Linked DNA regions of Schizosaccharomyces pombe. The protein of the gene in region 1 purifies or fractionates together with the protein of each later gene. This does not show direct contact. Each region holds a gene or a part of one and is shown in the gene's direction. Other genes may lie near its edges. The genes, in order: dbl8 and rpa43.

Evidence for each region.
Region 2: the proteins of dbl8 (region 1) and rpa43 purify together in Schizosaccharomyces pombe (affinity purification with western blotting, with the first as the bait; one study listed by BioGRID). This does not show direct contact.

What each region holds. Positions count from the first base shown.
Region 1 is NC_003423.3:2,557,031-2,565,289, reverse strand, and holds dbl8 (ATP-dependent RNA helicase Dbl8), read left to right. Parts: upstream 1-2,120; 5' UTR 2,121-2,162; coding exon 2,163-7,997; 3' UTR 7,998-8,140; downstream 8,141-8,259. Other genes in the region: guanyl-nucleotide exchange factor Muk1, read left to right, coding at 108-493, 542-1,364.
Region 2 is NC_003423.3:3,999,844-4,003,280, reverse strand, and holds rpa43 (DNA-directed RNA polymerase I complex subunit Rpa43), read left to right. Parts: upstream 1-2,037; 5' UTR 2,038-2,050; coding exon 2,051-2,318; exon of another isoform or gene 2,319-2,424; coding exon 2,425-2,623; exon of another isoform or gene 2,624-2,689; coding exon 2,690-2,744; 3' UTR 2,745-2,814; downstream 2,815-3,437. Other genes in the region: mnh1 (protein mago nashi), read left to right, coding at 628-653, 700-737, 790-816, 889-942, 994-1,057, 1,100-1,187, 1,257-1,403. UniProt on the Schizosaccharomyces pombe protein: DNA-dependent RNA polymerase catalyzes the transcription of DNA into RNA using the four ribonucleoside triphosphates as substrates. Component of RNA polymerase I which synthesizes ribosomal RNA precursors.

The sequences.
Region 1 (8,259 bases):
CCTATGCTAACATATTCTTAGTTACATGTATATATAGAATTTTTTTTCGTTTAATTTTATTTTTGAAAATTAAACTTTTTGATCACCTTTCGTAAAAGTTCCTTTCGATGAGCTTTCTGAATTCTTGGAGAGCTGTTAAATATACAAATAAGCCTAAGGAAGAAGACATCAAACTCCCAAATTCTGCATCAAATCTTCCAACTACTGTACAAGCATGTGTGATACAGTTTATCTCTTCTCTAGTTAGTCCGGTTCACCCTCAATTGCTTTCGCCTGAAGAACTAGCAAAAGCATTTCAAAACTTTTACAAGCATACCGATGAGTTTATTGCTTCAACCCTTATCCCTCAACCCTCTTCAAAAGATCAAAATGTGCCTCTTTTGTTTCCTGAGGAAATAGATGCTCAGAAAAAGGCGAGACAACACTTGCTGAACCAAAAAGATGAATGGATGGACCAAATTGAAGATATAGTTTGCGAATATTTGTATGATCGGTATGTGATTACTTCGCCTACAATAACTGTTTACTAATATTGTGTTAGGATTTTCTGTTTATCTACAAGTACGGATGCTGCCAAAGATGACTTGTTAAAAAAATTTATTGCTTCTGAAGAAAAGAAAGAACTTATCAATTGCATTCCAATACCTGATGATGAAAAACTTACAAACCGGTTACATGAAGTCTCTGAAGCATTTTTTGCTCTCGATGAGCAACACACACCTAGATCGAAAATAAACACTTTTATGACCGTTAATTCAAGTATATTGAATGCCTCTCAACTTCCTCAAGAAGAATTGAATGCTGATTCTTTATTAAATTTGACCATATATTGCATTCTCTGTTATCCCGGATTTCATTTAATATCGCACCTGAATTTTGTGTTACGCTTTCGAAATGCAGATTTTTTAAGCGGAGAGCAAAGATACTGTCTCACAACTTTTGAGGCAGCCCTTACTTTTATTCTTCGAGCTTGTCCAAATCTTTTAACTCAATCGTCAATTCAACCCTCTGATGATCCTCTTTCACTTGAGGTAGCTAATAGCGAAACAGTTTCGACCTCTAACTCGCTTCATGATCCGAGTGCAGAACCCTACCCTGTGAATCGCTCATCTTTATCTAATTTAAGAAATCTGGGACTAGCACTTGAGAAATCTTATGCCTCTCTACTTAGTAAAGTAGCCAATCACACTGCCAAAAGTTCAGAAGATTCTTCCAATTCTGTAGAATTCGTGGGCGACCCACCTTTGGAACGCTTTTTGACTGTTTCTGATGCTAGCGATCTTAAAATCGGTGAAATTGAACTTCTTCTTTCTGACTATAAGCGCCTCGCACGTTTGCTTTTTGAGAAAAATGGTAATCAGTAATTTTGACTGAATATTTTCTTTAAAAATTTCACATCCAGTTGGTTTTCGGCTTTGTTTATGGTTATTTGATTCATTTGAGAGACAAAGTCATATAGAAAAGTTATATGATTGATCAATATTTTTTTTTTCTTTGTTGCAGGTCAATTCGTGAACAGCTTAAAAGTTTAAAAGAAAATTTTTATTCAAAACAAGGATTGATTATTCCTTGACGTCTATTTTATTAATGTATGAATATCACAAAGAACTAGCAAAAATGATTTAAGCTTGTATGTTGACGCAAAGATTGCATGCGAATTAAATCCTTACAAAGGAAATATATGAAACGAATATATCATGTTACTGCAAAATTTTTAAATATACTGAATAAAATGAACTGTGATTCTTTGCTCAGTGAAGAAAATAGTCATATTTGAAACTAGGAATTAAACACACAATCACAAACTTCGGATTATAATGGGTAAGAAAGTTTTTTAAGTTGTCACATTATATATAGTAATGTTTAAAATATATTTCGGATAATCATATATATCTTAATTACAATAAAGAAGCGTGATTTTGGTACATGAATTTATATACACTTTCAAAATATACGTTCATTTTTTTATTTAAAATTTCTCTTAAGGCTATTTTATTTCAATGCGATAATCGAGTGCTGTGTGGACATCAAATGATTGGTTGCACTAAATGTTTATAGTGAATAGTGTAATTTACTTCCTTAGAAACCTAGATTTTGAAAAATTGCAGTCGCGCTTTAATAAGTCTACTTCGAGAGTGAGAATGCAGCATTAGCTTGTGGTTATGGAAAATGACGAGGCTTTTGATAGATTAATAAGAAAAATTCAGGAAAATCAAAAACACCCATCTTTCGAAGGGTCCAATAAAGTTTTGCATTTGGCGCTTTCATACCTAAATACTAACAGACAAAACCCTCATTGGGTTTGTGATCCTAAATTACAAGTAGCAGTTCGTGAATGTCTTTTTCTATTTTCTTTTCAAAATGATAACGAGTATCTGGTATGGTTCAAAAAACATTTGAACGAACGCCTTCAGTTATGCCCCAAATGTATAGTTAAATATCACCAATCTTTAGATGATTTCAAAAGTCTATGTTTAAACATTTTTCACTTTGACCCAAATACTCTTGAGATTGTAATGGAGAAAATTTATAGTTGGGACATTTTTCGGTTACAGGAAGTTCTCAAAACAGTGCCTAAAATCGACACGTCCTCGGCCTCTAAACCTATACTATGCGCCTTCTACGAAATCTTATACTCTCCTCGTATTTTACATAATAAAGAAATCTTTCCCTTGTTCCGAAACAGATTTCTTGAGTCCGGTTTTCTTCGGCTCTCGAAAAACCTAGTGCCAGGTGTCATAAGTCTTCTCTTCTCGAGAGATGATGAGCTCCGAAGATGGGCTTGCAGTATTTTAAGTGATGTAAAAACAATCTCCGATAATGAATTTAAAATCCTTGAGGGTCCCCTTCTTCAGGAAATTCGTTCTTTAGACCAGAAGAAAGAAAATGAGAACGAGATGCAAATTTTTCTGAAAGGTTTATCGTTGCTGTTAAAGCATGTTGATCATCTTTATTTTAGGGGACTTACAGGAAAAAATTTCAATGTCGCCGATTTTATTCTTTCGGGATTGCAAAGCGACCATACTAATTTATGTCCGTCTTTCCTTGTATGTTTACATTCTTTGTTATACTGCTATGGACGTAATTTTTGGACGCCAGAAATTTCTCCCAGTGAAGTAATAGATAAAATTTTTAATGGTAATGCTTATAAGAGGTGGACAGAAGAAAATACATCCAATTTTTCAAACGACCAAAAGGCAGAGAATCCGTTTGAATGGGCTACCTCTCTTTTGAAGACAATTTCAATCATTGATGAAGTTGAATTAATTAACAAAATTTTGATTAATTACACCATGCAATATAAAAAGGAACTGGAAGTCGGTTTCAAAAATGTTCAGTTACTTCAATCACTTGCTGACATATTTTCAGTTTTGTTTTCCGAATATTTTATGATTTTCCCCCATAGTGATCAAAGTTTACAAAACAAAGTATTTGAATTACATTCCACTTTAGCGATTAAGTTTGACGAGCTGTTTCGTTTGCTAAACTTGGAAAATGAAGAGTCTGTTGAATGGAGGCTTATTAAGAAAGTTTTTGAATACCGATTGAATTTAGATCTTTATATTTTGAAGCAATTCTATTGCCATTATTTGGACAGAAATAGAAAGCCACCCTTGAATATCAAATCGGTAAGTGAGTCTTTTAAAAATTTTTGGGTATATTTGCAAAACGTATTTCGAGAGGAGAAGTTCTTTATGGTTCGTATTGTTTTTCGTGCTTGCTCTACAGTTTGCTTGATTGATAAGTTGCCGCCTAAGAAAGTTGACATTCCGTTCAAAAGTGATTTCGAAAATGCACTAAACGGATTTGTTGCAACATTTTCTGAAATGCTTATTCAGACTCAATGTTGGCATTTGTCGGCACAAACCCAATTGGTTTCAAATCCTTTAACTTTTCGTGGAATCTTTTCACTCGTTTTTTCTCCAATTCTTGAGATCTCAACAGGAAGTATCTCAATTATTAAATCTATTTCGCTTTCTGACAGCGTTGTTGATACTATAGGAGAGCTATTGAGAAGCCAGTTTTCAAATACACTAAATTCTTCATGTTATGTTCTTCTGCAGTGGCTTAAAGTCAGAAACTTTGGAGGAGCCAAGCACATTGTTTATTTTAATAAATTAATTATAAACACTATTTTTGACTCTGTTGATGGCTTAACTTCTAAGGATGCGACTTTTGCAAAACAAGTGGAAAAGAAAGAATCCCTTAAGAATTTCTGGGAATCGTTATGGAAATTCTTTACTCATTTTTTCATTGTTCTTCCTACTTGGCCAGTTCATGATAAGGACAATTTAGTTGATTTAATGCGGGATACCCTTGATTTTTGCGATATGCTCATTAATATTTTTGAGGAAGTTAACGGATTCATTTTTGGATTATCGGATAACGATATTAAAATTGTTTCGGCTAATGATAAGGGCAGTGCTTTAGCTATGTGTATAGCTGATTCTTTGGTTACTGTATCTTATTGGCTTAAGTTAACTGATTCTTCACTTCTAACATCCGTTGTGAAAGTGATTTGTAAAATGCTTAAAATTTGTAAAAAGTTGGAGTGTCCAATTAGTCAAAATGTGATTGATATTATCCATAGGGCATCAATTACCAGTGATGAACAAACAATTCTTACATTCACTGAGAGAGAGGATCTTTTTATATCGCTCACACCATACCTTTCAGAAGACGTTCTTAATCACTCTCCTTTCAATGATACCAATACGCTTGAAACTAAGTTACAGAGTGATGATCGGGGTTTGCTTTCTAAAGACCAGACTATTGGGATTGCGAAAAAATTACCTGAGTCAAACATTAGTACTTCAAATCATTTTTTGCTTCCTCCGAAGGCTATTTCTGCTTCTAAAGCCATCAATAGAAATGCTCAAAAATCTCAAAATTTAAATTTTTTGAAATCTAAACAAGAGACAACACAGCGAATTCGCGAATCCGCGAAAGTTCCAAGAACCAGTGCGGGGAACCATCTTTCTGAGAAACTTAATTCGGATAATCATATACCAAAAGCTTTGCAAAAGCTCGATTCTGCTGACCCAATTCGCAAGCCTTCACTTTTGCACACTTCTAAAAGTTATTCTAATCCAGATGACAAAAATACTTCAACTTCCGATGAAGATACCTCGGAGTCCGAAGAAGAGTCTAGTAACGGTCTATTCTCGCTTGCACGTGAAGCTAATTCTCATGCCTCTAAATCTCTTCCACAAAGAAGGCAGATTCAGTTCTTGGACTTTGATTCCCTTAAAACAAAAAATGTAGTTCATCCTACTCAATTGCGCCGTAATACTCAACAAAGTGCACAACTTGCTCGACTCCGGCTAAACCCTGATGTTCAAGAGTTTTACAAAGTAATTTTGGGTTGGAACCCATTAGCTGATTCTTTTTCGGCGTCTAATGTTGAGATGCAGTGCGTCCAAGCTAAATTCACGTATAATGATTCAAACGCTTATGAGAAAGTTTTCAAACCAATGTTGTTTCATGAATGTTGGGCTCAAGTGAAAAGTGCCGTTGAAGAAAAGCAATACCCTCCCATAGATTTAATCCTCAACACCCGCAGTACAGTTGATAACTTTGTCGATATTTACTTTACGTCCTGTTCACCTACCGAAGTCTCTTTTTTAAGTGATACAGATATTTGCTTACTGTCAAAATCACAAAGTTCGGGCGATACTAATAACCCAAAATCTTTTCAGTTGTGCAAAATTCAATCCATTTCTCGTAAAAAAGAATCACTTGAACTCTGTCTGCGGATGAATATTGAATCAATTGATCTACAGGAGTATGCACCGAACATTAGGTTCACAGCACAAAAATTATTTAATGCTACTACTAGCTTACGTGAATTTGCTGCTTTAAAATCTCTTCGCCATTTACCATTGTCTCAGAGAATTCTGGATGCCAATGTAACGCGTCTACCTTCAAATTTTACAGATGACAAAAAGCAAAAAATAATGAAGTCTTATGGTGTAAATGAACCCCAGGCATATGCGATTTATGCATCTTCTGTAAATGATGGTTTTACGCTCATTCAAGGGCCTCCTGGAACTGGAAAAACTAAAACCATTCTAGGCATGATTGGAGCTGTACTTACTTCTTCTAGTCAAGGGTTGCAATTTAATGTCCCAGGACAGACGCGAAAAACCTCAAAGAATAAGATTTTAATATGCGCTCCTAGTAATGCAGCCATAGATGAAATTCTCCTTCGTATCAAAGCCGGTGTTTACGATCATGAGGGTATCAAATTTTTTCCAAAAGTTATTCGTGTTGGATTTGGTGACTCCATAAGCGTTCACGCTAAAGAATTTACTTTGGAAGAGCAAATGATAAAGCAAATGGAACTTACGAACCTAAAGAAAGATCAAGAAGCAAACAATTCCAGTGATACTCGGAAAAAATATGACTCAATTATTAAAAAAAGGGACTCTTTACGCGAAGATCTAGAAAAGTTTCGTAGTACTGGAAAAAATAGTTCAATATTGGAAGCACAGCTTCGTGAGATTACCAAACAGAAAAACATGCTTGAACAGAGCCTTGATGATATGAGAGAACGTCAACGCTCAACTAATCGTAATCTGGATGTTTTGAAAAAACAAATACAAAATCAACTACTTCAGGAAGCTGATATTGTATGTGCTACCTTATCTGCGAGTGGTCATGAACTACTTTTAAATGCGGGTTTGACTTTTCGAACTGTCATAATTGATGAAGCTGCACAAGCCGTTGAATTAAGTTCAATCATACCTCTTAAGTATGGCTGTGAGAGCTGTGTAATGGTTGGTGATCCGAATCAGCTTCCTCCTACTGTGCTATCAAAAACCTCTGCAAAGTTTGGATATTCACAATCTCTATATGTCAGAATGTTCAAACAGCATAATGAGAGCGCTTGTCTTCTTAGCATACAGTATAGAATGAATCCTGAAATTAGCCGATTTCCCAGCAAGTTTTTCTATAATTCAAAACTACTTGACGGTCCCAATATGTCAGCAGTGACATCTCGACCTTGGCACGAGGATCCGCAGCTAGGTATTTATCGATTTTTTAATGTTCACGGGACGGAAGCTTTTTCCAACTCAAAGTCTCTGTACAATGTGGAAGAGGCTTCGTTTATTTTATTATTATATGAGAGGCTAATTCAATGTTATCTAAACATTGATTTTGAGGGGAAAATTGGAGTTGTTACCCCTTATAGAAGTCAAGTACAACAGCTTCGATCACAATTTCAAAGAAAGTATGGTTCCATTATATTCAAGCATCTTGATATTCATACCGTCGATGGGTTTCAGGGACAGGAAAAGGACATTATAATTTTTTCTTGCGTTAGGAGTTCGATGAGCGGTGGAATCGGTTTCCTTCAAGATCTTCGTCGGCTTAATGTAGCTTTAACAAGAGCTAAATCATCTTTGTATATCGTAGGCAATTCTAAACCGCTAATGCAAGAGGATATTTTTTATAGCTTGATTGAAGACGCAAAAACTCGTGGTGTTTGGAGAGACTTGAGTGCTAATCAATTTAAGAACTCAAAAAGTATATCAAACGTTTCGACACACCTCGCATCTAACAATTTAAATTTAGCCTCACGGGATACCCCAATTAAGTCGCCGTCGGTTGGTATCTGTGAGGAAAAACAAGAAGCACATAAAGTCAAAAAACGGCACAATATAGATAGTGCTAATTTGTCAAGAGGAACTGAGAGAGATGAAGATATACCGAATAAGCGCGCTAAGAACAAAGTTTCCACTGATCAGACTGCTGCTGATAATAAGGTCACGAAACCACGCCTTGATGAATCATCCAGTTCCAAGCAAGATGTGTTAAACAAAATAGACGAATCTGAAATTGAACAAGCGTCTTCCAAAAAGCCGGGTTATGTGGAAAAAAATAAAGATAAAGGCCATATGAAAAAATCAAAAAAGCCCAAATCGAAACTTGCTCTGGCGGCGATGGCCCACGGTTTTGCACCTCCAAAAGTTGAGCATTTCAAAAGGAAGTAGCCGATTTAGGTTTTAGTATGAGTATTTTACAGTATTACTTTTTTAATAACACGAGTAGCGGGACGTTTTCAATCATTTGAATCTTAGACATAGTTTATTTATTAATATTTCTCCTATCTAAAAATGATTTTGCTTACAACAACACTATATTAATTTTTACTCAATGGTATATATAAACAGGACAAATGCACCAGTATATTCTATATGTTTGTGTTAGGATTATATCAAACTTGTATTAGCTCATACTCACAATTTCATTATT
Region 2 (3,437 bases), 1.4 Mb from region 1:
TGTCAAGTGAATTAAAACTTATATAACATGTCATGTGCCTTGGTTAACTAGTCGAGACCAACAATTGATTTGAGATAATCTGTGAGTACGACTTTCGCTTTATTTAGCTACCTTTAAAAAAAATATTTTTGGATGACAGCTGTGAATGTCGATATATAAATAACATAAATGAAGCCTGTCAAAAGCTCGATTTAATATGTTACAATAAAAAAATCAAACCGTAGTCTTAATAAAAAACAACCCAAGGATCACAAACTAGCGATAAAAGATGCAACAGTGCCAGAATAACTTTTGTAAATGCAGTGAAATAAGTCGTGGAACGTTAAAAGGTCCCAGAAAAATAACTTGTCAAGATTTAACCTGAATTTGGAAAAAGCCTTTAAGGAATTAAAAGACTTTGATTTACAGATATAGACTTAGCAGTCAATATATAATGTCAACGAATTCATCAAAGATACACTGTATATTGAATTACCCACGAACTTTGATTGTCGAGCTCCAAAAATTGGATGCACTAGTGTATTGTGTTATTTAAAATAGTGAATCACTATATGCTTCGTATCTTTGACCAAGAGTTTACCTCTCAGCAGTAGTCATCGAAGCCATCATATTCCTATTTGCTCGAAAATGAGTGATTTTTATGTTCGATACTAGTATGCAAAAAAGCTGTAAATAGTTTTGAATGCTAACTGACTGAAGCTCGGGACACCATGGTCGATTCGGACACGAGTTCTTGGGTACGCGATAATATTAGACGCAAGGTCGCGCAGCTAACCAAACATTTGCTAGAATTCGATTATCATAGTGATGGGCTAGGTATGAATAGAGTCAACAATTTTCTGATTCATATTAGCAACAGTGGTTTGACATGAATACTAATTCAATTAGCTAGATACGCAAACAATTCTAACTATCGGAACGATTCGTTAATCCGAAAGGAGAGTATGTTTTAGTACTACATTTCTGTTCGATCGTATTAACAAAGCCTTAAAGTGTTCGTCAGTGAGCTTGTTTTAAAAGAAGTTCAACGTATTGTAGATGACAGTGAGATCATAAAGCAAGTCATTTCTTTCAATTTTTTATACTAACTACTATTTAGAGAATCAGATGAAAGTTGGCCACCTGAAAATAAAGATGGTAAGCAGGAACTTGAAATTCGTATGAATGGAAAACACATCATGTTTGAAGTAAGATTGCTCTTCATTTGGCATAAATATATTCATTCTAGATACTTTTAAGCTAATATAAACTACTAGACCTGTAAACTTGGAAGTTTGGCAGACGTTCAAAATAGTGATGATCCAGAAGGGCTAAAAGTTTTCTACTACCTAATTCAAGATTTAAAAGCATTGTGCTTTAGTCTCATCTCCCTAAATTTTAAGCTCCGACCTGTTAAAAACTAGATGCATTCCATTTTCTTATATATTAGGGCGAAAAAGTTTTATGTGAAACATTGGTTTACTATTTGGGTTTGATTACCTTTGTTTCGTTTCTAAATGTACAGTCTCAAAGCTGAAAAACGTTCGAGCTTTAGGAAGGAATTTCAGTTTTTATGCTAAATTAACCGTATTGCACTTTTAATTCCATATCATAAGCGGTTAAGAATTGACTATTTATTTGGGAACATCTTAGAATATGGCAACCATTCCATGGTAGTCGCGTTACAAAATCTTTTTTTCAATAAGATATCAAAAAAATCTTGAAATAATTTTAGCTATATTAAATAGACACTATTTGTATAGTAATGAGCGATTCACTTATTTTGTCTCAATAATATTCTTCATTTAAATAAGAGAAAAAAAAGGTAAAGTATTTCTTATTGTAATTAAAAAAAAAATTTCAATGTCTTGAGCACTGTAGTGACATGGTGTCATTTACAGAATTGGCATTTCTATTGATGCCATAGTATCGCCTATTTAGCTGTTAACCTTTCTCGAAGACATGATATGTTATATATGACCTTGGTTGATCAATTGAAGAGCTTTGTTTACCCTTGAACATATCTGTAAAACTGGATGCAGTCGATGAAGGAAATTTGCGTTCCGCCAACATGCCGGATTTATCACTCTACAAACAGACTGTAGATTTATACCTTTCCATTGCTCCTGGACACAGCAGGGATCCTTTAAATGCTATTCAGGAGCATATGGATAGTATGATTCTTAGCAAACTCCCAAGAATCAATGGAATAGTGTTGGCGTACGACAATATTCGATTCCTGGAAAAAAGTGCAAAGGTCATGTATGACTCCCCATTCTCCTTTATATGGGTCCGTGTAGACGTTTTAGTATTTTCTCCCAAAAAAGGCGATTGTTTAGGTATGAAATGCTTAGAAATTCGAGATTCTATGATGGATTTGTATCATGATAATTCAGTCGTGCAAAATTTTATACCAACTCCAAAATAAATGCTAACTATCACTAGAAGGAAAAATTAATTTAGTCAGTCCAAGTCATATTGGTCTATTAATTTTGGGTATTTTTAATGCATCTATTCCGCGAAAATCTATACCTAAAGATTGGATTTTTATTGAGCCCGATACTACGGAAGAACAAGGTCGTTGGAAGACAAATGATGGAAATATTCTGGAGCCTGGTAAAGATTTGGAGTTTGTAGTAGATGGGTATGTCGTAAACTATATACTGTTTTAACTAAAGTTTGATTAAATTATGACTAACAGTTAATCTAGTATACAAAGAGAAGCTGGGTTGACTATGGTTCAAGGGACGCTAGCAAATTCATAATAAGTATTTATATTCAAAATACAAAAGGATTGGTTACTTATGATTATGGATATTTGCCTAAGAAATTCCGGTTTATAGAATCGCGCTAAAACTAAACAGTAAGTTATTTTGAAGCGGTGTGTATGTACTTTCAATTGTATGATTTTATAAAAGTAGGCAATTGTTGATTTAAGCTTAAGGAATGAAATGAATGATAATTCATAGTTATCTTTTTTCTAGACTTTTGATTTCATCTAGTGATACTCTCATTTTCAATTTGTTGCATATAGACATTGAATGCTTTCCACAACCCAAGCGTTTGGAACTATTTATTTATAAATTCGACAGTTTAATATAACTTATGGACAGCCAGTTAGCCTGCAATTTATTGACAAAATAATTGGTTAAAATCTTCAAAAAGCACTATTTGATTTAATACGTCAGGTGAAGGATTAATATCTTCTTTAAATAAATCGAGATCTACTTATAACACATCAATGCTTAGACAAATAAGCTTAAGTTTTATTACCACGTTTGTTTTTCTGTATTTTAATAATAACATCAATAATAAAATTTTTTCAATTATCTCAAATTGATCATTAAGCAATATGAATTAATTTGATCACTTTAGAGTGCAATAAATAATTTCAGACAATTTAGATACGCTAATTAACACTGATCTCCGTACTGCCCGGTTTTGATCATTGCTACTGA